3 linked regions of the Drosophila melanogaster genome follow. Changing the gene in region 2 together with the main gene of any one other region gives a genetic interaction. Each region holds a gene or a part of one and is shown on either strand. Other genes may lie near its edges.

Region 1 (7,568 bases), about 11 Mb from region 2:
TCGAGTCCTGTCTACGATGAGAAGCCGCCGGCGGTGAAACTCCTATCCGCCGCCCTAGACTTGGATGCCCAAAAATCCCAGGCAAACAATGATGACGATAATAAGCCCAATCTTATTTCGCACCAAGAGTTCAAACAACAGCTGCAGGAAGCTATTGCTTCGCGGCAACCAAACCAGGTAGGTCCTACAAAAAGTCAACCAAAATTAATCAATTTGTATCAGTTGAATCACCTAATAGGGCTAGAGAATCTTTAATTGTCCATTTCTGTACTGCCTTGCTCTCATTAATCCTCAGACAATCGAATATTGTACCAAACACATTTTTTCTTCTGTGCAGGTGAATGGCACTAAGAGTGGGGCCACCACTTTGGACTCCAGGATCAGTCGTAAACAGCGCTGTCCACCGGAATTTATTAAGTACAAGGAGGGCAGCGAGGGTGGAGGCAGTGGCTCATCGCTTTCCTCGAAAGATCGGCGCAAGCGCAAGGCGAGCAATGAATGCTGCTCGGCATTTCCACTGCAAATAGTGTTGGGCACTCTCCAGTTGCTCCTGGCCATATCGCTGGTGGCCCTGGGATCACTTCTGATCGTCCGAGAGGCAGCGCTCTCACTGGCGGGATGCGGCATCTGGACGGGATTGATAGCAGCCGTTACGGGCTCCCTTGGAGTGGTGAGCATGCGCAAAACCCAGACAGCGTTTTTGGCCCTCAGTTTGGTCTGCATCGCCAGCAGCACCCTGGCTCTGGCTATTTCCGGCGTGGGATTGTCAAGGGACCTCAACAGGATGGCGGAGCAAAAGGGTGAACAGGTAAAGCCGGGCTCTTCGCATTGAGGCATGTTTTTTTAATGGTTTCATCCATTCTAGTTCGACTTGATCGATACCAACAGCGAGGTTTCCGCTGCCTGCGGCCTAATTTTTGCCCTGTTTCTTCATTTTGTGGTCAGTATTGTATCCGTCTATCGTTGCGCCCTTCAGATTTGCACTAAGTAAGTAAGCTACTCCTACTACTCCTACTTTTATATATGAAAAGTGGTTGTTGTCCACTTTTGAAGCAATAATAATACTGAATCTATAAGCACAATGTTTTTTTTTTTATTGTTTTTAAAAGCGCTTGTACGATATCCATTAGTTTTTTACCAATTGAATTTGGAATGTTGCGGCTAATATAAGTAAGTAAGTCTGCAAAACCGTTGTATTTATTTAGCAAAGTTTCCGGAAATCAATATAAAAGGGATATAGAAATTTATAATAACGGTTTTTAGACGGTTTACACAAGATAACTTGTTTCGTGACGACGTTTTCGTAATGAATTGGTATTTTTCGCGTTTGGTATATTGCTAGACACGGTCACACGGGCCAAATCATTCTCAAATAAAACTATATTTATATGTTTTTTTTTTTTTAATTGAGTTATATAGACTTTTAAAACCGAAAGAATGTATTAAAAGTGTAAACAAAAATTTGCTGAATACGCACAGTAAAAACATCGGCTGCAAAAAGTAAATCGATGTTTTCGGAAAACTGAAACTATCGATGTAATCGATGGTAACATCGATTTTTTTGCAGCTCTAAAAAAACTTTATTGTGAATGTGTAAATAATAGTGATAAGAAGCAACACAGCTGTGCGGATTGCGAAGCGGATAGTAAAGCAGACGGCGTACGAAACGTGGGCGCATTAGGAAAGCGCTGCTTGTTGGCCGTAGGAGCAGCAGGGAAACCAGAGAAATCCGGAGAGGCAACAGCGCAGTCGACTGCGACGCCCACGCAGCGGAAGTAATAAAAAAGAAAAGTGAAATCGGAAGTAGGGAGAGTTCGGTGGAGGAGGAGCAGCAGGAGGAGTTGGAAACGCAGGGGGAACTCGGGCTCTAGCATTGTGCATCAGGATCTGGAAACAAAGGAACCGCTAGGAGCAGTTGCCTCACAACGCTAGCAGCCACCGAAGTCATGCCGCTGGCCGATTCGCAAAAGGATCTCCGCCAGCAGCCTCAGCAGCAGCAGCAGCAGCAGCATGTGTCCTCCACCAGCAGCAGCAACAATGCGGAGCAGCAATGCAGCAGCAGCGGATTGGGTCTGCAGCTGCGCCAGCGCATGCAAATTACCTCGTCCGGCTGCAGCAGCCTGGCGGTCACGCCCATGGAGCACACGCCCACCGAGGACGATGAGAGTGGCGGAGGCAACAGCGGTGTCACTTCCTCGGTGACCACTGTGACATCATCGCAACGCCGCCAGCAGCTGCAACAGGTGCAACAGCAATCTGCTCTGCAAGCGGCCCTCGAGCAGCATCACATCTCACCAACAGCAGACTTGGATTCCGCTAGGAAAAGGCCGACGCATCGAACCTTGTGCCCGCCGCCAGAACTTATGGAGCTGAGTGATTCCGAGTCCCAGGGAGGCGTGGAAACTGGCGGTAGGAGAGAAGGGGCTACTGGGCGAAGTGCACCTGATTTAGAAGACACCGAGCCCCTATATGAAACAGAAAACGAATTCGAGCTTAAGGAAGTCATCAAGGAGGGTCACGACAAGGCCGATCCTTCCCAGTTCGAGCTCCTACGGGTTCTGGGCGAAGGTAGCTTTGGAAAGGTGTTTCTAGTGCGAAAGATCATAGGCAAAGATGCAGGAACACTCTATGCCATGAAGGTGCTCAAAAAGGCCACCCTAAAAGTAAAAGATCGCGTAAGGAGCACAAATGAACGAAAAATACTAGCGGACGTGGGTCATGCTTTCATCGTACGTCTTCACTATGCCTTCCAAACTCCCGGAAAACTCTACTTGATACTGGATTTTCTTCGTGGCGGTGATCTGTTTACCCGTCTATCCAAAGAAGTAATGTTTACGGAAGAAGATGTCAAGTTCTATTTAGCGGAACTGGCGCTAGCTATGAATCACCTACACACATTGGGCATTATCTACAGGGATCTGAAACCGGAAAATATTCTACTGGACGAGCATGGCCATATAGCCTTGACGGACTTTGGTCTATCCAAGCAGCCTTTGGATGGCTCAAAAACATATAGCTTTTGTGGAACCGTAGAATACATGGCGCCGGAGATCGTGAACCGAAAGGGACACGATTTTGCCGCTGATTGGTGGAGTTTCGGGGTGCTCATGTACGAAATGTTAACGGGGAATTTACCCTTTCATGGCCAAACCCGCCAAGAGACTATGAATCAGATCCTTAGAAGTAAGCTGGGCATGCCGGAGAATTTGTCGCCAGAGGCGCAATCCCTGCTACGTGCTCTCTTCAAAAGAAACCCCCAGAATCGTTTGGGTGCGGGTGCCCAAGGAATTCTGGACATCAAGGCGCACTGCTTTTTTGCCACCATCGACTGGGTGAGATTAGAACGAAAGCAGGTGCGTCCGCCTTTCATACCGGCGGTTAGCCGTGACGATGCCTTTTACTTTGATGTGGAGTACACCTCAAAGTCCCCCAGGGATTCTCCGGGTGGCCCGATCTCCGCATCTGCCCATGAGATCTTCCGCGGGTTCAGCTTTGTGGCTCCTGTCCTTCTGGAAGGTCAGTGTGCTGGCTCGAATATGTGCTCCACCAGCGCCAGTCCTCTGCATAGTATAGCTCCTATTCCTGCTGCTCCAGTGGGAGCCCCTCGAACATTACCTGGTGTTCTTCCCGGAAACTTCCATGCGGAATATAATCTACTGCAAGAACTGGGACGTGGAACCTTTTCAGTTTGTCGGTTGTGCGAGCATCGAGCCTCCAAGAAACATTACGCAGTAAAAGTAATCGAAAAGGCAGCTGTGGCCGCAGCATCCACATCCACTTCTGCCGATTGTTGGGAGGAGGTGGAGATTATGCTGAGGTACGGCAACCACCCAAATATCGTCACTCTGTACTCTGTTTACGAGGATGCGGGGTCCGCATATCTTGTGATGGAGCTGCTTAAGGGTGGCGAGCTTCTCGATCGGATACTTGCCGTGGGCCAGATGTGCGAGAGTGAGGCCAGCGCGGTGTTAAGGACAATTGCATCTGCGGTAGCATATCTCCATGAACATGGCGTGGTCCATCGAGATCTTAAGCCTTCAAATATGATATATGCCAGTATGCGGCAAACTCCCGAGACCCTAAAGCTCTGCGATTTGGGTGAGTGCGGAGCGGAACTAGTTAAATATATTTTATTATAGCCTTGCAGTAAATTTTCCAATTGCTGACAAACATGATTCACTTTAAAAGCTAAACTTTCGTAATTTTTAATTCCTTTAACTATTATTTGTTTTCTAAGTTACTTTGTTATTTGCAATTTTAAAGGTTTCTTTTCTCCAAACAGAAGGTTTTTCATTTTAAGATCTTATTTAGCCAAAGTTCCATCCTATTGCAATTGAAATCATTTGATAATATTTAAATTCAGAAAGCATTTATTTCTGCAAGGCTATATATTTTTCTGTGCGAGTATTTCTTGTTGGTAGAGCAGGAGTAACCTTCCGATTTCCGCTTAGGTTTCGCGAAGCAGCTGCGCGCGGACAACGGCCTCCTGATGACGCCATGCTACACAGCCAATTTTGTGGCTCCCGAGGTTCTAAAGAGACAGGGCTATGACCTGGCTTGCGACATCTGGTCGCTCGGTGTGCTGCTTTACATCATGTTATCCGGCCGGACGCCTTTCGCCAGCACTCCAAATGATTCACCGGACGTAATACTGAAGCGCATCGGATCAGGACAAATTGACTTCACAAGCAGTCGCTGGGCACTGATCAGTGTGCCGGCCAAAGAACTTTTGCGTCAGATGCTACACATAGTACCGGAGAATCGGCCGACGGCGGCGCGAATACTTGAGCACGACTGGCTGCGGGAGCAATTCGCCGGCGGCGTACAGCTTACAGAGTATGCGGTGGCGCCCGGATCCCAACTTTCGCTGGGCGCCCAGCAGCAGCAGCAGAATCACATCTCCATGGCCTTAAGAGGCGCTGTTGATGCCACTTTCCGGGCTATTGCCATACCCCAGGCGGCGAATGTGGGACCCGTAGAACTTTCCATGCTCGCCAAGAGGCGGGCCAAAGATCGAGCCAACCTGCACTCCTAATCCTGGGCGGCTGCATGGTGTCCGCGGCGCCAGGCCAAGCGGCAGATAGTCCGACTACTTTTCCGAATCTATAGTATTCTAATCCAATGCTGCTGTGCCAATCCGCGTCGTCTTGTCAAGGACAATGCGCAGAAGCTTGGTTCACATCCACAAACGCTGGGCAATCCTCGCCAACGCTGCCGCAGCGCCAAGCTGCGTGTGGTTTAGGTTTTGGGGGAATCGGCCTAACCTAAAGTATTTGACAAGTGTTAATTATTTATTTTATATGAAAGCATGCCAATATGCCAAGGCCATAACGCACTGTGCGGGGCATCTATATACACATATATATAACTATACAAATACTGATATACATCTATATATAGCTATTTATATAACGAATCCTAAAGCAAGGGCCTAGAGAGCGCGTGTGAATGTGGCGCCAGGATCATCCCAGATGATTCCTGAAACCACATTATTTATCCCAAACTGGAAATTAAAAAAAAGCCTCTCGCCCAAGTTTACATATTTTTAATTAAATTAATCGTAGCTAAATTTTTCAACATCACCGTGTTATTGTTGCTTAATTAAATTAATTAAAATGAAAAAAAAAATGGAAAAAAGTATTAGCAAAACAAACAAAAATTAAGAATAAAAGCCGCAATCCTTTTATATAATAATAACTTTTTTCGCCAAACTATAAAGGAAGAACAAAGAACCCAAAAAAAACTGTGTAGAAAGATAAGAAAATCAAACCACAAGAGTTTCCACAATTCTTACTTGGAATGTCAATTTGCACAATGAAATATGAAACTAAGCAAAAGATAAACATAACTACCATATTATACAGAATGTGTACATAAAGCGGAAACTGTGCTTTTCGGGTTTATAAGGCAAAGGATATTAGAAAAGAGTATTTTATTAATAATTCCCTAAACAATAAAAACCGACGTTCTTTCCAACACTGCACAAGGGTGCATATTGTTATTTAATTGTAATTAAGAAACGTAAATCCTGCTAACTTGTCTTACAGTCGCGAAACGCACAGTTTAGTTGTAATAACGCCGGGGAAACAGTTGTGACAACATCAAATTGGGTTTCCATTTTGTTTGCTAACGTCTTCCAACAGAAATTATATCAAACAATATACCTTTTTGCGCTGTAACCAGATATAGAAAGTTCCGACTTACCATTGGATGATTTAGAACCGAAACCGCGATATATTCCATCATACTCGTACTGAATACAAATAGGATAGCGTCGTATAAACGACTTGGGTTAATGCAGAGAATTCCATTTGTTTGTGCTAGTTTCTCTAAAAACTGCACGATCATCAGTTCCCAACAACTTGTTTCGACTCTTCGAAGACAATTCCAATTTTGTTGTATTTTTGCCAAGGAAAACTTGTTAAAATTATGCTAGAGGGAAATATACAAAAAAAAAAAAAGAAAATACAAGCAAAGTGGAACGAAATTGAATAAATTATGTAGAAGAGCCATGTGAATCCTTAGAAGCTATGTATGCCACTTGAAAAGCAGAAGTTTCTTGTTTGCGAGCTTGTGTGTGTGCATAAGAGGCTGTGTGTGTGCTTCTTGTAAGTGCATGTGTGTGTGTGCTAAAGGATTATTGTGCTGTGCCACTACTGAACTTACTGCTACCAAAAATAAAACAATAACTTCATATACATATTTACACCACCTAAACAAGGTTAGTAAAACTTAGAAATTTTTTAAAAAAGGATAACATCCCTTGAATAAAACTGTATTTTCGTGGTGTTATTAAAAGGAGTTGGAGGGGGAAAATGGTATGATTATCCTAAAGTACATATATAATTAGCTAGCTGCGGAGGGAAAACAATGTGTACACATTGACATATAATATAGAAAATATTTAAGAAGGATCTTGAGATGAACATTTCGCCTAATAGTTGTCACGATAAACTTTTGCAAAATATGTTGCGTCTACAGCAATGATTTATACTTAATTACCTTGTTTTGAAATGACGACAACCAAATTGAAGGGATACGTCGTTTCCCTGCTTCGTTTTTTAACAGATTCATACACAAATTATAAAACGAAGTTGAGACAGGCAGAAAAAGAATTTTAGTCCACGGGCTGATGAGAAATCTAATCCAGCGATTAGATTAAAACTCATGTATACAAAAGTGGCCTACTATGATAAAAACTGTAATCATTTATCAATAATTCCGAACGGTCTCTTACAAAAATGTTCGGGTTGCACAAAAAGGACAGAGACAACAGATAGTTTAAGCATACAATACAAGCAACCCACTTTAAAGCCAACTCTCGACTAAATTCCCCAAGAACATACATATATATCTTAATCATATATATGAATGCGTGAATATATTTTCTTAGTAGATTTTAACAGCTTCCAGACTATACATACATTCAAATGATTGAATTCCGATATGAATCATTTAATTAATAAACATATTCAACGAAACTGATTCGAAATTATTGTTAAGTTGAATTTTTCAAACCAAGCAGAAGGAACCTAATTGAAAAACAAATAACCAATTCGAATTGTTTC
Region 2 (4,874 bases):
AACCAGAAACCCTCGCTGTCTAATGTATATATATATAGGTAATAGAAAAAAACTCCTATCATAAAGTATAATAGATCTTTATCATTATAGATTACATTATATATTATATTATACAACATTATAAAGACCTCCTCTAAATTACTTACATATCTAACTTATTATGGAACTAATTTTCCGTTTAGGTGGGAGCCATTAAGAACTTCGATTTGGAGCGCATGATGGGCTGTTGGCACGTGGTTCAGTATTACGCATCCACAGAGGAACTTCCGGAGTACGCGTGCATGCGCAGTCACTTTTCCTTTTCCAAAGAGGATCAGCATGTGAGTGGCAGCAAGGACCTTTATCCCTATTACAAATTATACCTCAATACCTCAATTTAAATTAGATAACGATGAACTTTAGCTACATATTTGCGGAGGATCCGCTGCGCGAGAAGCTCGTGGGCAACATCACCTGGATGATACCCAAATTCCAAGAGCCAGGACATTGGCAGCACACGGAGGACATATGTGAGTGATGGAAATGTTTCTACAATCAAATTCAAAACGAAAATCTATTCAAAATGTAGTTGTGATACGTTTGAAGTAGTTTGGTAATTACTATGCCAAAGAGTAATTCGATCTGCCCGGGTTTAATATATGTTTTAAGCAGTATTTTCGTTTCTATATGTACCTCCTTGCAGATGAGGGCATCTACAACACATACGTTCTGGACACGGACTACGACACCTGGGGCCTGGTGATGCACTGCGCCGAGAAGAAGAAGCAACCACGTTACCTGTCCGCCCTGCTTTTGTCGCGGAAAACATCGTTGGCCGACAACGAGATCAGCTTTCTGCGCGGCAAGTTGCCGCAGGATATCGACACATCCTTTATGTTTAACATCGGGCAGGAATCGTGCGACAATCTAATGGAATCTAGTCGCGACGATCCACTGGCCTATGTTGTGAATGGACGCAAGAGAGCCAAGGAAATCTTCAAAATTATCAATAAGCCTGACGGCAGAGTGCGCGCTAGTAGCGAAGCGAGAAGCTATGAGCAAAGCGAGAAGCTGTGAGCAAAGCGAGTCGATGGCAGAGTAAGAGCTAAGCGAGAAACGAGCTACATTGCTCTCTTTTAGTTATTAATGTGAACGTGATGGATTCGGACGAGGAATTTTTTGCATCAAGCGCAACTATTAACTTTCTGTTAAAACTGTCGTCCACCCTCTTAACTGAAATAGAAATGAAAAAGGCGAATTCAATAATTTATATAAAAGGTTATTTACAGAATGGAACAAGACAAAACAAAATAACGTGTGTTTTGAAAATAAACGGTAATATAGCGCAGAATATAACAAAACAATCGTACGCCCTGAGCGAGTTGAAGCGATAAGGCCTTGCTCTCGCTTTTTCGCTTAAGCTCGCAACTCGCTTCGCTCTCACTCTGACATCTTTCGAGCGATTGCGCTTAAAATGCATGCAGTGGGTTTATCGCTCGTTCTTGTATTATTAGTCTAATCAATCAACTAAGAGAAAATATTATACGAAAACCCGATTTATTTTGTCAATAATACAAATTTAAATAAGCACTTTCAAACATTTCAAACTTTCAACATAGTGTTACCATACAACTAAACGAAATAATACCTTAAAGTAGTTGTAAGAAAATATTGCTAGCTGCAATCGGTAAATTATTTGACAAATGGCAAAACAGCCAACTAAATGCTGGTAATAAACAATATTTTAATATTTGGCTTGATTTGCTTATTTAACAAATAATTCCGCGTTTTGTTTGGTTAATTGCTTTTCCGAACCAGTGTTGCGAAACGCGCAATCCCGATTAGCCGATACATCGCTTAGCGATGACACGGCGCCACATCGATTGGCAATCGCCTGCGGACAGCGCAGGACAGCGGTAATCGATAGTCGAGATTGCATACCTGATATCATCGTCTTCGCTACAATATTTGCCTTTACCGGTTCAGCTGCAGTACAAAAGTCGATCAATTTGAGTAATTATTAACAATTTGGGTGAGTGCTGGCCACTGGAAGATAGCCGCAGCGGGAAAAATACAGAATAGCAAGTTGGTGTGCGTTGGATTGCGCTCATCGGTGTAAAGGCGTGCGTGTGTGCACGTCCCTATGTGCGCTTCGCGGTGTGCGTGTTTGCTTGTGTGCGTGTGGTGGCCCCTGTATATGTGTCTCTTTTTTTCTCAATTTCCAACAGTGTGTGCTTCTTCTTGCTGCTCGGCACATTTTGTATGAGCGCTTGTCAATTGTCACAATACGAGTATAAAAATTTATTTTTATGCCCCCCGACCACACGAATTTCAACGGTGCGATCACCGAAAACTAGTAACATTGTACAAGCAACGCGAATTAAACGGAAAACCGAAAACAAAAACCCCAAAAGGCCAATCCAACCAAAAAAAAAGAGGAGGAAAGAAGAAAAAAGCGGAAAAAGAGAGTGTGGTTTGTGCGAGCAACAAGAAGCGGAACCAAAAGGAAACGTGAAGAAAGCAGGGGGGGTGGGGTAGACAAGAAAGTGCCAAGATTCCGTTCCAAGATATTTTAACAATAAATTTCGCACGCCAGCCCAAATTACGCAAAATAATCCCCTTAATGTATGTAATAGTGCGTGAGCGTTTGTCCCAGTGTGTGTGCCATGATTGCCTGTGTGTGTGAGAGTGCGGTGTGCATGTGTGGTATGCGTGTGCAGGATAATTTGTCAGCAAAAAAAAAACGATGAAAATATGAATTAGCAACTCCATTCGCTTATCTTTGCAGCAAAATGAGCAGCTCCGAGGAAGTCTCCTGGGTCACCTGGTTCTGTGGACTTCGTGGCAATGAGTTCTTCTGCGAGGTGAGATATCATCATCATATCAGCATCAACGACGAATTACCCGCGTTCTTCGCTGTAATCGCGTTATCTAAGCGCGCGCTATAAGTGCAACAATTGCAAAGTGCAGCCCTCAATCTCTGCCTTTGCGCGCGCGTGTGTGTGTGTGTGTGTGCGTGTGTGCCGCAAGGTGGGGCAATACCGAGCCCAACTGTACACACATGTCCAGATAACACACGATATAGTGGATATATGACAGTATATTCCAGTACAGATCCTAATTGCATACGCTTTTGATTCCAGGTGGATGAGGACTACATACAGGATAAATTCAATTTAACTGGTTTAAATGAGCAGGTACCCAACTATCGGCAAGCGTTGGACATGATCTTGGACTTGGAACCGGGTAAGTTTAGAATGGGCTGTTACCCATATCCAAAATTGTAATGTATATAGCTAATGCGCCTTACCATCCACAGAGGACGAGCTCGAGGACAATCCACTGCAGTCCGACATGACCGAGCAGGCCGCCGAGATGCTCTACGGCCTCATACACGCCAGATATATACTAACAAATCGCGGCATCGCTCAAATGATCGAGAAATATCAAACTGGCGATTTCGGACATTGTCCACGTGTCTACTGTGAAAGTCAGCCCATGCTGCCATTGGGTGCGTAACCAGATCCTTGATCAATCGCTCTTACCTATAGCTAACAAACATAGTTGCGAATCTTTCTGCGCGTAATTGATTGTAATCTAAAAAAAAAAAAAAAAAACAACATATCTACGAGGAACCTCGTGCTTTTCTGCCTAGTAATTACATAGCCAGAAACTATCAACGCGATTATTGGCACAACTTCTAATTGAGTTTCCTGAATAGCATATCATTGGGGCTTTCCCATGAAATCTTACACCAAGAAAAAAACAACGCATTCTTAATAGAAATTCTACCTTAATTGTCTGGCTTGGCTTGCCCTAGTTAAAACCTTCGCAACGCTTCCCGATCTCCAATAAATTCTTACCGAAACTTCCCTAAACGTTGTTAACGATCAAATAAAGCAATGCTGAATCAAATGCATGCACAAATGCAAGATAGGGTTTCACTAAACAAGGTCCCTCAATTTCTGTGAAAATTAACTAGGCCAAAGTGGCTAGACGAGCCTTGTAAACATTTCTGCTATTAATGATAAATGATCATGATGGATATCATGTTGAGTTAAATCAGGTTAAATATGTTTGTACCAGATTTCACCGATGAATTCTGACTTTTTCTAGTTGCTAGTTGCTCTGCCAGTGGTCTAATCCTTTGATTATTATCCTCAGGTCTGTCGGACATCCCCGGCGAGGCAATGGTTAAGACCTATTGCCCCAAGTGCATTGACGTGTACACACCAAAATCGTCGCGTCACCACCATACCGATGGCGCCTATTTCGGCACTGGATTTCCACACATGCTCTTCATGGTGCATCCCGAATATCGTCCCAAGCGTCCTACTAATCAGTTTGTTCCAAGGTAAGATTTATACCCATTACTGTATATGCACATTGTTAATATGCTCTTTTGTTTTATGTGCCCGATACGACGTCAACTTGATCATCACATACATAGGCTATATGGATTTAAAATACACAGCTTAGCTTATCAAATTCAGCTGCAGGCAGCAGCCAATTTTAAAATGCCACTACGAGCGGTAAATTTAAAACTTAATAACTAGCTATTAGTATCCTTTCCACCATTTACCCCACTCTCTCATCTTTTTTTGTTGTATTTTATTTTGGAATCTAAAATTCTATATATTGACTAAAAAAAACACAACGCCACCAAGGGATCATTCAACTACTAAGCATATAAATATATTATATCTTTTTTATTTGTTTTCTCTCCCCACACATACAAAACCACCAAACCAACCACCACCACCACCACAAAAAAAAACCAAACCAAATCAAATCAAACATCCATAAAATCCGATCGACAACCTGAACCTGAATATGATTATGAATACAATCATGTCTCTGCCTGTCTGAATAAAACCAAACATAAAACCAAAATA
Region 3 (7,117 bases), 9.2 Mb from region 2:
GAAACAAGGAGGAGAGAATAGCCGAAAAGATATTTATTGCATTTATGTGTCTCCGATTATGGACCCCATTAGTTAAATATCGATTGTGGCAAAGTTTTTGTTGCACAACAAAGCGCAGCTAGCAAAATTCAAGGCAGTTGCAGTGAACGTGATCGATTGTAGCTGGCAGTGTGACCAGCTCAGGAACGGAAAGTGTAAGCTAATCAAAGTGGTAAAGAAAATGTAAATACAAGTAAACCCAAATCTTAAAACTTAATAACGGAATCCGATGAACAGCAAGTTCAACAGTTGATTAAAGGTGAGTTCCTTTAAACAATGTCACTTTTCAATTATGTTATGTAATAAGTTCTAATGGCTCACAAAGCCTGGCCACACTGCGCAGTTACCGCAAGTTTGTGTTAATTCACTTAAATATTTCAATCTAATATTTAAATATGAATAGTAGAAGTAAAAGAACATGCCGCTGAAGTTTTGCTGAAAAATTCATCGAGTAAGAACCGTGTGCGAGTGTTTTTGAATGTATTTGCGTGTCCAGAACAGAAGGTGACGCTATTGGAAATTTATTGTCATCAAAAATATTTTGTAAAACTTGTAGGGAAATTTGAATTTTCGTAGGATTAGCCGATTTCGAAAGGATAGGAGATTTCTAGATTTTGGAAAGGGTTTGGATATGGCTTACACAAATAAAGGTATGTATGTATTTACATAAGTACAGTGGAGCAAGAACCGAAGGCAAGCGAAAATAACTATTTAAATTAAATGTCTATTGGTTTAATTTGAATTACAAAACAATGAGCTTACTTTCTGTTCAAAATGATCTTGGGTATAAGAACTGCGATATTTTGTTGGGGTATTTTACATATGTGCTGTTTCCAGCTGGCTTGCTTGGTGGGTCGATGGGAGATGCAGGAATAGTCGGGTTCTGGGTTATCTTTGGGATCATTTCCGGTCCGATTGTGTGGGTGCTGGCTACTGTGGTGGTGGGCTACATGGCGTTGGCTACTTCTACGGCTATTTGGCTACGGCTATGGCTACATCTATTAGTTAGGCTAGGTTTTGGTCTACTGCTCTGACAACTCAAATACAACTGACTCGGGTGGCACGGATGACGCTGACGGTACTCTTAGTACCTTTTGACCCCGGAAGCAGATGCCCATTATCCACTTGGAGCCGCGAGTTCGCGATCTCGCGCTGCCCGCCTCCTTGCTGTGAATGTGGGAGATGGTCGGATCCGGCTCCGCTTCCGCATCCGTCTTCTCCACCCGGTCCTTGCCCTTTTCCCGCGCCTTGTTTTGCAGCCGGGGCATCAGTCGCTGGCGCTGTTGAGGCTCGTGAATCATCACAATGCTGGCACTGCTCGGCTTTCTTCCATTCAGCCTTTTATTCGGCGGTGATATTCTGGGAGTTTTAAATTGATGTAAGGAGTTTCAAGGTGGGGTGTGCACAAAGCGGATGCTTACCGCTTTCCAGTGGCCGATGGATCTCCTGCAGGCTGCACTGCATCCGTATCCGGCGCCGTGTTATAAGCACCCGAGTACATAGATGCCCTTTTCGGCGCCCATTCCGGATGACCTCGCACCGACAGCTGGGTGGCCAGACTCTTTAGTAGCACGGCACGAACCTAAAAAATATATATTTTGGTTGGAAATAGTGAGGGTTTTAGGCAAATGGACAACTGAGTGACTTGATGTCTTACCTCGCCATTTAGAAAGCAGTAAATTAGCGCTATAAAAAATCCCTGAAACGAGGTGAGAAAGTGGGTGCCATACGACCAGACCGCGAAGTTCGTGGCCGTTTTCAGAGGAGCCAGCTGGTGCAGGAGATTGGTTATACCCAAAAGTGGTAGTAGGACTATAGCCGCTCTAACTGCCTTGCGAGTCTGTTCTATATCGCTGGCCTGCGATTGACGCAGCTTCATTACCAGCACTCGGATAATGTTCACCAGGAAACAGAAGTTTAGCTGCATGCGGATGTTTTCAGTTGGGTGAATAGGTGATTAAAGCGATCAACAGTTGATATTACCCACCAGTATGACCGCTAGTCGTGGCCCCTCGAGGATCCAGTAGTAGGGCGTGAGATTATAGTTCCACAAGCATTCGCCCAGCGAGGTGTCCATATACATGACCGTGCATCTCGCCCACACGGTGGTCATCAGAATGGGCACACACCAGCCGAGTCGCGAGAAGAACTTGAGGGGAAAGCTGCCCTGGAAAACGGCCACGGTGACCATGTTGTGCAGGTAAAGGCCCTCGATGAACATCCACATGAACATGGCGGTACGAGCGTACTCCAGAAGTACATAGGATGCTTCGCACAAATAGGGCTGTAGAACATAACATATAATATCGAACATAAGCCTTATACCTTATCCTTATGCGGGAATATTAAGCCTACCGTGTTCTCAATGACAGAGAGACTCGTGTTGGTGGCCGCCTCCTTGTTTCCCCGCCGGAATTGGTCGAGATACAAGGTCAGGCGAATGATCACCTGCAGCACCATGGCGACGAAAAGATTCTTGTGGATCTTGGTGCGATTGTTTCGCAGCGAGCGAAATGTGCAGAAGATCAGCAGGGAAACTATAAGGGCGAACAGGGAGAGGCAGAGGCCCACGATCTCCAGGGTTCGAGTCCTCCTGGCAATGTCTATGTAGGCCTAAGGGATATCGCAAACCAGTTGGAAGAAATGGAATTAAAACTACTACTATAAACCACTATCAACAAATGTAATCAGGCCTTTGAAATCACTTTTTAGGGTGTCTAAAAAACTTGGAACCCTATTAGGTAATTTCAAAACCATACCCTTGATTTGGGATTTTGGTTGGCATTTAAGCAATGCTCTTAACTATAACTGAAACAGGTATTATGATGTAGTGTGGAAAGAATTCAACTCACATCGAAGTCCTTGCTGCCCATCTGCTGCATGAGACGGATAATCTCCGGCTTGTAACACGGCCCGTAGTCCGTCCATCCCGGCGGATTCACCTCCGTGGCATTTGGCCTGCTGCCCCATCGACCATCCAGCTCACACTTTCGGATGGCGAATTCTGCGAACCGAAAAAGAGGGAGGTTGGGTTGGATTAATGACAGTAATCGAGCTTTGACACACTGACTGACAAGTGCAATTATGCCAATCGAATGGGCGACCGACCTCGTCCAGTTGAAAATATTGGGGCTAAAAATCTAGACACGGCCCGGAGAAATGAGGCCGTAGCTCAACAATGCACTCGAATAATTATTTCTTAACAGATATAGTTCGATATGCCTAGATTTTGCACCACAAGCGCAGATAATACATTCACTAGTGATAATGGAAGAGCATTTTAAGTTTGTAAAATATTGGGTGGTAAGTCAGCTACTTAGAATCTTTTCGCTCAGTGTATATCGCCCATGGTTATTAAATAGCAATTCCCCATTGCAGAACGTTTAATTTATCGGAGGGGTAGAGCAAGCATTTAGGATCGTAATTAAGCAATCGATTGGCTGGTGTTTTAAACCCTGTTCAACTGGCGGAGCTCGAGGGTGCACATGAAACACCTGGACAGCCCCCGGCGATGGAAGCCAAGGAGGGGCGGCCCCGACTGGGAGTGCGGTTGATTGGACGCCCCCAGTCATGCATGTAAATATTGACATCCTTTCGATGAATACGGAATCAAGTAATTGTTTGCCGTGCACCACTTGAACCGTTTCCCAGCTAATGATCCGTATGATTGTGACCGCCAGATATGCCGTGTGGATGGGATAAACACCGTAGGACATGTCTTTTGACTCCTAATAAGCCGGCAGAAGTCATAAAGCTTCTTGTGGCTGCTAAACAGCTAAACAGCTTCAACGATTAATTATGCTAATTGTACTCAGCATGTTCTTTTTCGGCTGCTTTTTTTTTAGAGTGTATTTCAGTTACTTACTGCGCGTATCTACGCCATGAAAGCCGCCAGGACAATTCATCCGTGCAAGGACTCCAGCCGGAGTGGGTGGCCAGCAGAGCAATGTGTCCCAGGTCCAATTGCAGTAGAGTCCTATCCCGGCAACAAAAAAAAAAAAAAAAATACTGCAATATGATTTAAAAGTTATTAGGCTTTAGGTACCTGTTTGTGGTAGGGTGTAATTGACAAAAAGCGCCGAGCAGTTCTCGAAATTGGTGGCCGCTGCCGACGCAAGCGTTAGATTCCAGGGCGCGCTGCTGTTGAGATTACCGAGAACCTGTTCCGTGTCCGAATCGGGCAGTGCGTCCATGACGGTGGGCTCCAGGGCCAATTGGGCCACCCTGGCGACACCGTCGAGGACATACGTTCCCGGCGATTCCGTTGTCGAGGCATCGAAATCGTGCAGTAGTGGCACGCGTCCGGTCGCCAGGCTGTGCGAGGATGTTGGCTCCAGCATGGATTTTGATTCAAATGTTCCGGCCGTCGGTGCAGATGGGGATGGTCCTGATGAGCCGGACTGGCGCAGCAGGCGGGTGAAGCGCTGGGCGGAAATACAGCCTCCGCAGTCGAGAATGTTCGACAGGAGGGTCATTTTGCCATCGACCGCATAGTAAATGTGCTGCAAAGCGAACAATGAACATCGTTGTTATTTACGCACCAGCATTATATCGAGTTATATCGTTCTAAAAAAAAAAAAAAAACAATCCCAAACCCATCAAACTTTGTACGAGTTAAACCCAACCAACCAATGAGTCTGCATGGCGAACACGACCTCCAGAACACGGAGCTTTGTCTTTCGATATTAGCATTGGACCCATGGACATGCATGCATTGGCTGCAATTGAAAATTGATCTCTTTCCATTTCGATTTCGATTTCCGCTTCCGTTTTCGTTTTCGTTTCCGATTTCCGATTTCCCGCACCCATGCGCCCCGTTATCCGGGTCAGATTTAATTGAAAGCTTATCGCACAATGAGACGTACGTCGACCGGTGCCTTTGTTTACCGGATCTTATTCTCGTTGGCAGAGTGCCCGTCGTTAACGCAGTTTATGATTGCCCCTAATAAATACCCGGCTTATTTATAGTCCCGCTGCACCGGAGTGCAAACATCACGCCCACACGCTACGACGCCATATGTATGCACATACATACAATACACATATCATTGGCATTCGCATTCGCATTCGCACTCGTATCACCCACATCGCACCGATTGTCGGGATTATGCCTGGCGAAATGGCAAATGGCCAGGAGCACCACATGCACGCAGAAAAGAAAACAAGTGAGTTGTTTACACATTTCAAATATTTTTGAATTGGGCATTGAATTGCATGGCATTGCAACGATCGCCACATACCAATTTCTTTCTGTGCAGCAGGAAGAGGAACTACGGGCTATGTGATGAATTGTAATTGCAACAACAGTTGCACTAACCCTTTTCCAATTTACGTGTCGGCTCTTTTCGGAGAAGTGTAATCTCTGCACAAGGAACAGATTAAAAATGAGCAGCTAAAACTTTGTATGAAGAACTCAAGGTCCTGCAAACAACTGATGATACGATCGTGCAGACTCGAAAATGTAATGCTTTTATCATTGCACAAATGAGATGGAGTAATTCCCAATGAAAAACAACAGCTTGTTTATCATTTAGTGGCACGTTTTGTGAAAAACAAGATTTCATATTTTAATGACGGCATCACATATTTTCCTCTGCGCAATTTATGGCCAAGGCTAAACGGAATGTAAATTACTTCAATGACAATCGCACACGACAAATTATGATTTCTTCCTGTCTTGGTTGCGTTGCAGCAGCAGCAGCAGCAGCAGCAAATGGCGGCGGAATGGCACAGGAAACACGTTGCCATTCGCTTTTTTTTGCCTCAACTTTTATTTCTTTTTCTTTTTTTGGTTTTTTCACTTCCGGAATTGCGTAAACAAGCCATGCGGAGGACGGTCGTCCAAAGTGGCCAAAGTTGCACATTTTGCTCATGTTGCCCATGTTGCTTGTGTTGCTTGTGTTGCTTGTGTTGCTAAGCTGCCCCAAAAATGCCTTTGAGTGCATTTTATATAATTTCATAAGAATTTCAATTTCGCCAGTAGTCGCTGCACACGAATGCATGCATGCAGGCTATGCTCCACCCACACGCTCACCCACCTCCCTCCCCCCCCTCAGCTATCCATCTCTGCATTTCCGCATTTCCGCATCCCTGGGGGCATTCCACTGGCTTTGTACTGCTCAATATGTATTTTGGTTGCATAAGCGCCAGCGTCAGACGAAGTGCAGCATTAGCAAAAACTTTGCGACTAAGCACTCCCACAGCGCAAAAAATCAACGATATATACGGTATATGTATATATATATATATATTTAAAATATATAATTAAGTAATTAAGATATTAAGCCTTTCGGGAGCCTTGAATTCGCTGCTTATTTACCAATCGATGCTTATCGCCGCAGCGAACCGATTCTCAGCTCGCGCTCGTAATTAAGCTAACTAAGCGCAAAATCCCCTCCAAAGCGACTGAAAAGCCAGTGGCGGGGCCAGGGATTGGAAACGGTTTGGTTTGGCTTGGCTTGGCTTGGCTTGGATTGGATTGGATAACCAACTGGATGGATGCTGGATGCCGCGATTCGGCATCTCCAAGCAGACAACAGACCCTGATTTGGGTCACTTGGCAGCAGTTGCAGCGTGCGGGTTATGGGGTTGAGGGATTAAGGGACCCCTTTAAATACTTGTGCAATTTAAAGTTAGCACCAGTCAGAAACAGAAAGTAACTAAAATTTAATTACATTGAGGAAAGTGGTTTGTTCAACTGCAATTTGTTTGTGTGTAAAGTGTGTACAGAGTAGAGCTTACAAATATTATTGGTAGTTGGTAGTTGGCAATCGAGAAGAGGCTTGTTAATCAAAATGTTCTTGCATATTACATAAGCACATTTTTATATTTATTACGCCCTTGGCATATATTTTTTTTTTTGACTTGAGCAATCCATTTTCAGGCCGATAATTGAACGAGCTCTGGACTCGATTGTTTACAATTTGGAAACCCAAACATGCTGGGCCGTTTGAATAATTAATCAACTTTCTTATTGAACACTCAGCAATTCAATTATTTAACACGCATTGCAATGCCCCAAATAGCTTGTCAATTCCACTTGATGGGTGGATACTCATAGTGGATAGTGACAGGCAAT

What was found.
Region 1: of CkIIbeta (region 2) and S6kII, changing one suppresses a phenotype caused by changing the other (phenotypic suppression), as found in Drosophila melanogaster (one study listed by BioGRID).
Region 3: of CkIIbeta (region 2) and Pdfr, changing one suppresses a phenotype caused by changing the other (phenotypic suppression), as found in Drosophila melanogaster (one study listed by BioGRID).

What each region holds. Positions count from the first base shown.
Region 1 is NC_004354.4:22,528,405-22,535,972, forward strand, and holds the start of S6kII (ribosomal protein S6 kinase II), read left to right. Parts: upstream 1-1,559; 5' UTR 1,560-1,946; coding exon 1,947-4,098; intron 4,099-4,451; coding exon 4,452-5,035; 3' UTR 5,036-7,568. Other genes in the region: CG17600 (uncharacterized protein), read left to right, coding at 1-177, 338-808, 866-987.
Region 2 is NC_004354.4:11,790,676-11,795,549, forward strand, and holds the start of CkIIbeta (casein kinase II beta subunit), read left to right. Parts: upstream 1-1,857; 5' UTR 1,858-2,011; intron 2,012-2,038; exon of another isoform or gene 2,039-2,070; intron 2,071-2,203; exon of another isoform or gene 2,204-2,604; intron 2,605-2,767; 5' UTR 2,768-2,771; coding exon 2,772-2,843; intron 2,844-3,122; coding exon 3,123-3,225; intron 3,226-3,298; coding exon 3,299-3,490; intron 3,491-4,143; coding exon 4,144-4,333; intron 4,334-4,429; coding exon 4,430-4,511; intron 4,512-4,874. Other genes in the region: karl, read left to right, coding at 183-320, 386-509, 683-1,056. UniProt on the Drosophila melanogaster protein: Participates in Wnt signaling. Plays a complex role in regulating the basal catalytic activity of the alpha subunit.
Region 3 is NC_004354.4:2,570,398-2,577,514, reverse strand, and holds Pdfr (Pigment-dispersing factor receptor), read right to left. Parts: upstream 5,310-7,117; 5' UTR 4,849-5,309; coding exon 4,669-4,848; intron 4,542-4,668; coding exon 4,085-4,541; intron 4,016-4,084; coding exon 3,905-4,015; intron 3,044-3,904; coding exon 2,892-3,043; intron 2,653-2,891; coding exon 2,395-2,652; intron 2,324-2,394; coding exon 2,027-2,323; intron 1,961-2,026; coding exon 1,697-1,960; intron 1,622-1,696; coding exon 1,461-1,621; intron 1,399-1,460; coding exon 1,062-1,398; 3' UTR 510-1,061; downstream 1-509. UniProt on the Drosophila melanogaster protein: Receptor for PDF, a neuropeptide controlling circadian behavioral rhythms. Probably regulates circadian behavioral rhythms through coordination of activities of clock neurons. PDF-binding results in the elevation of cAMP synthesis.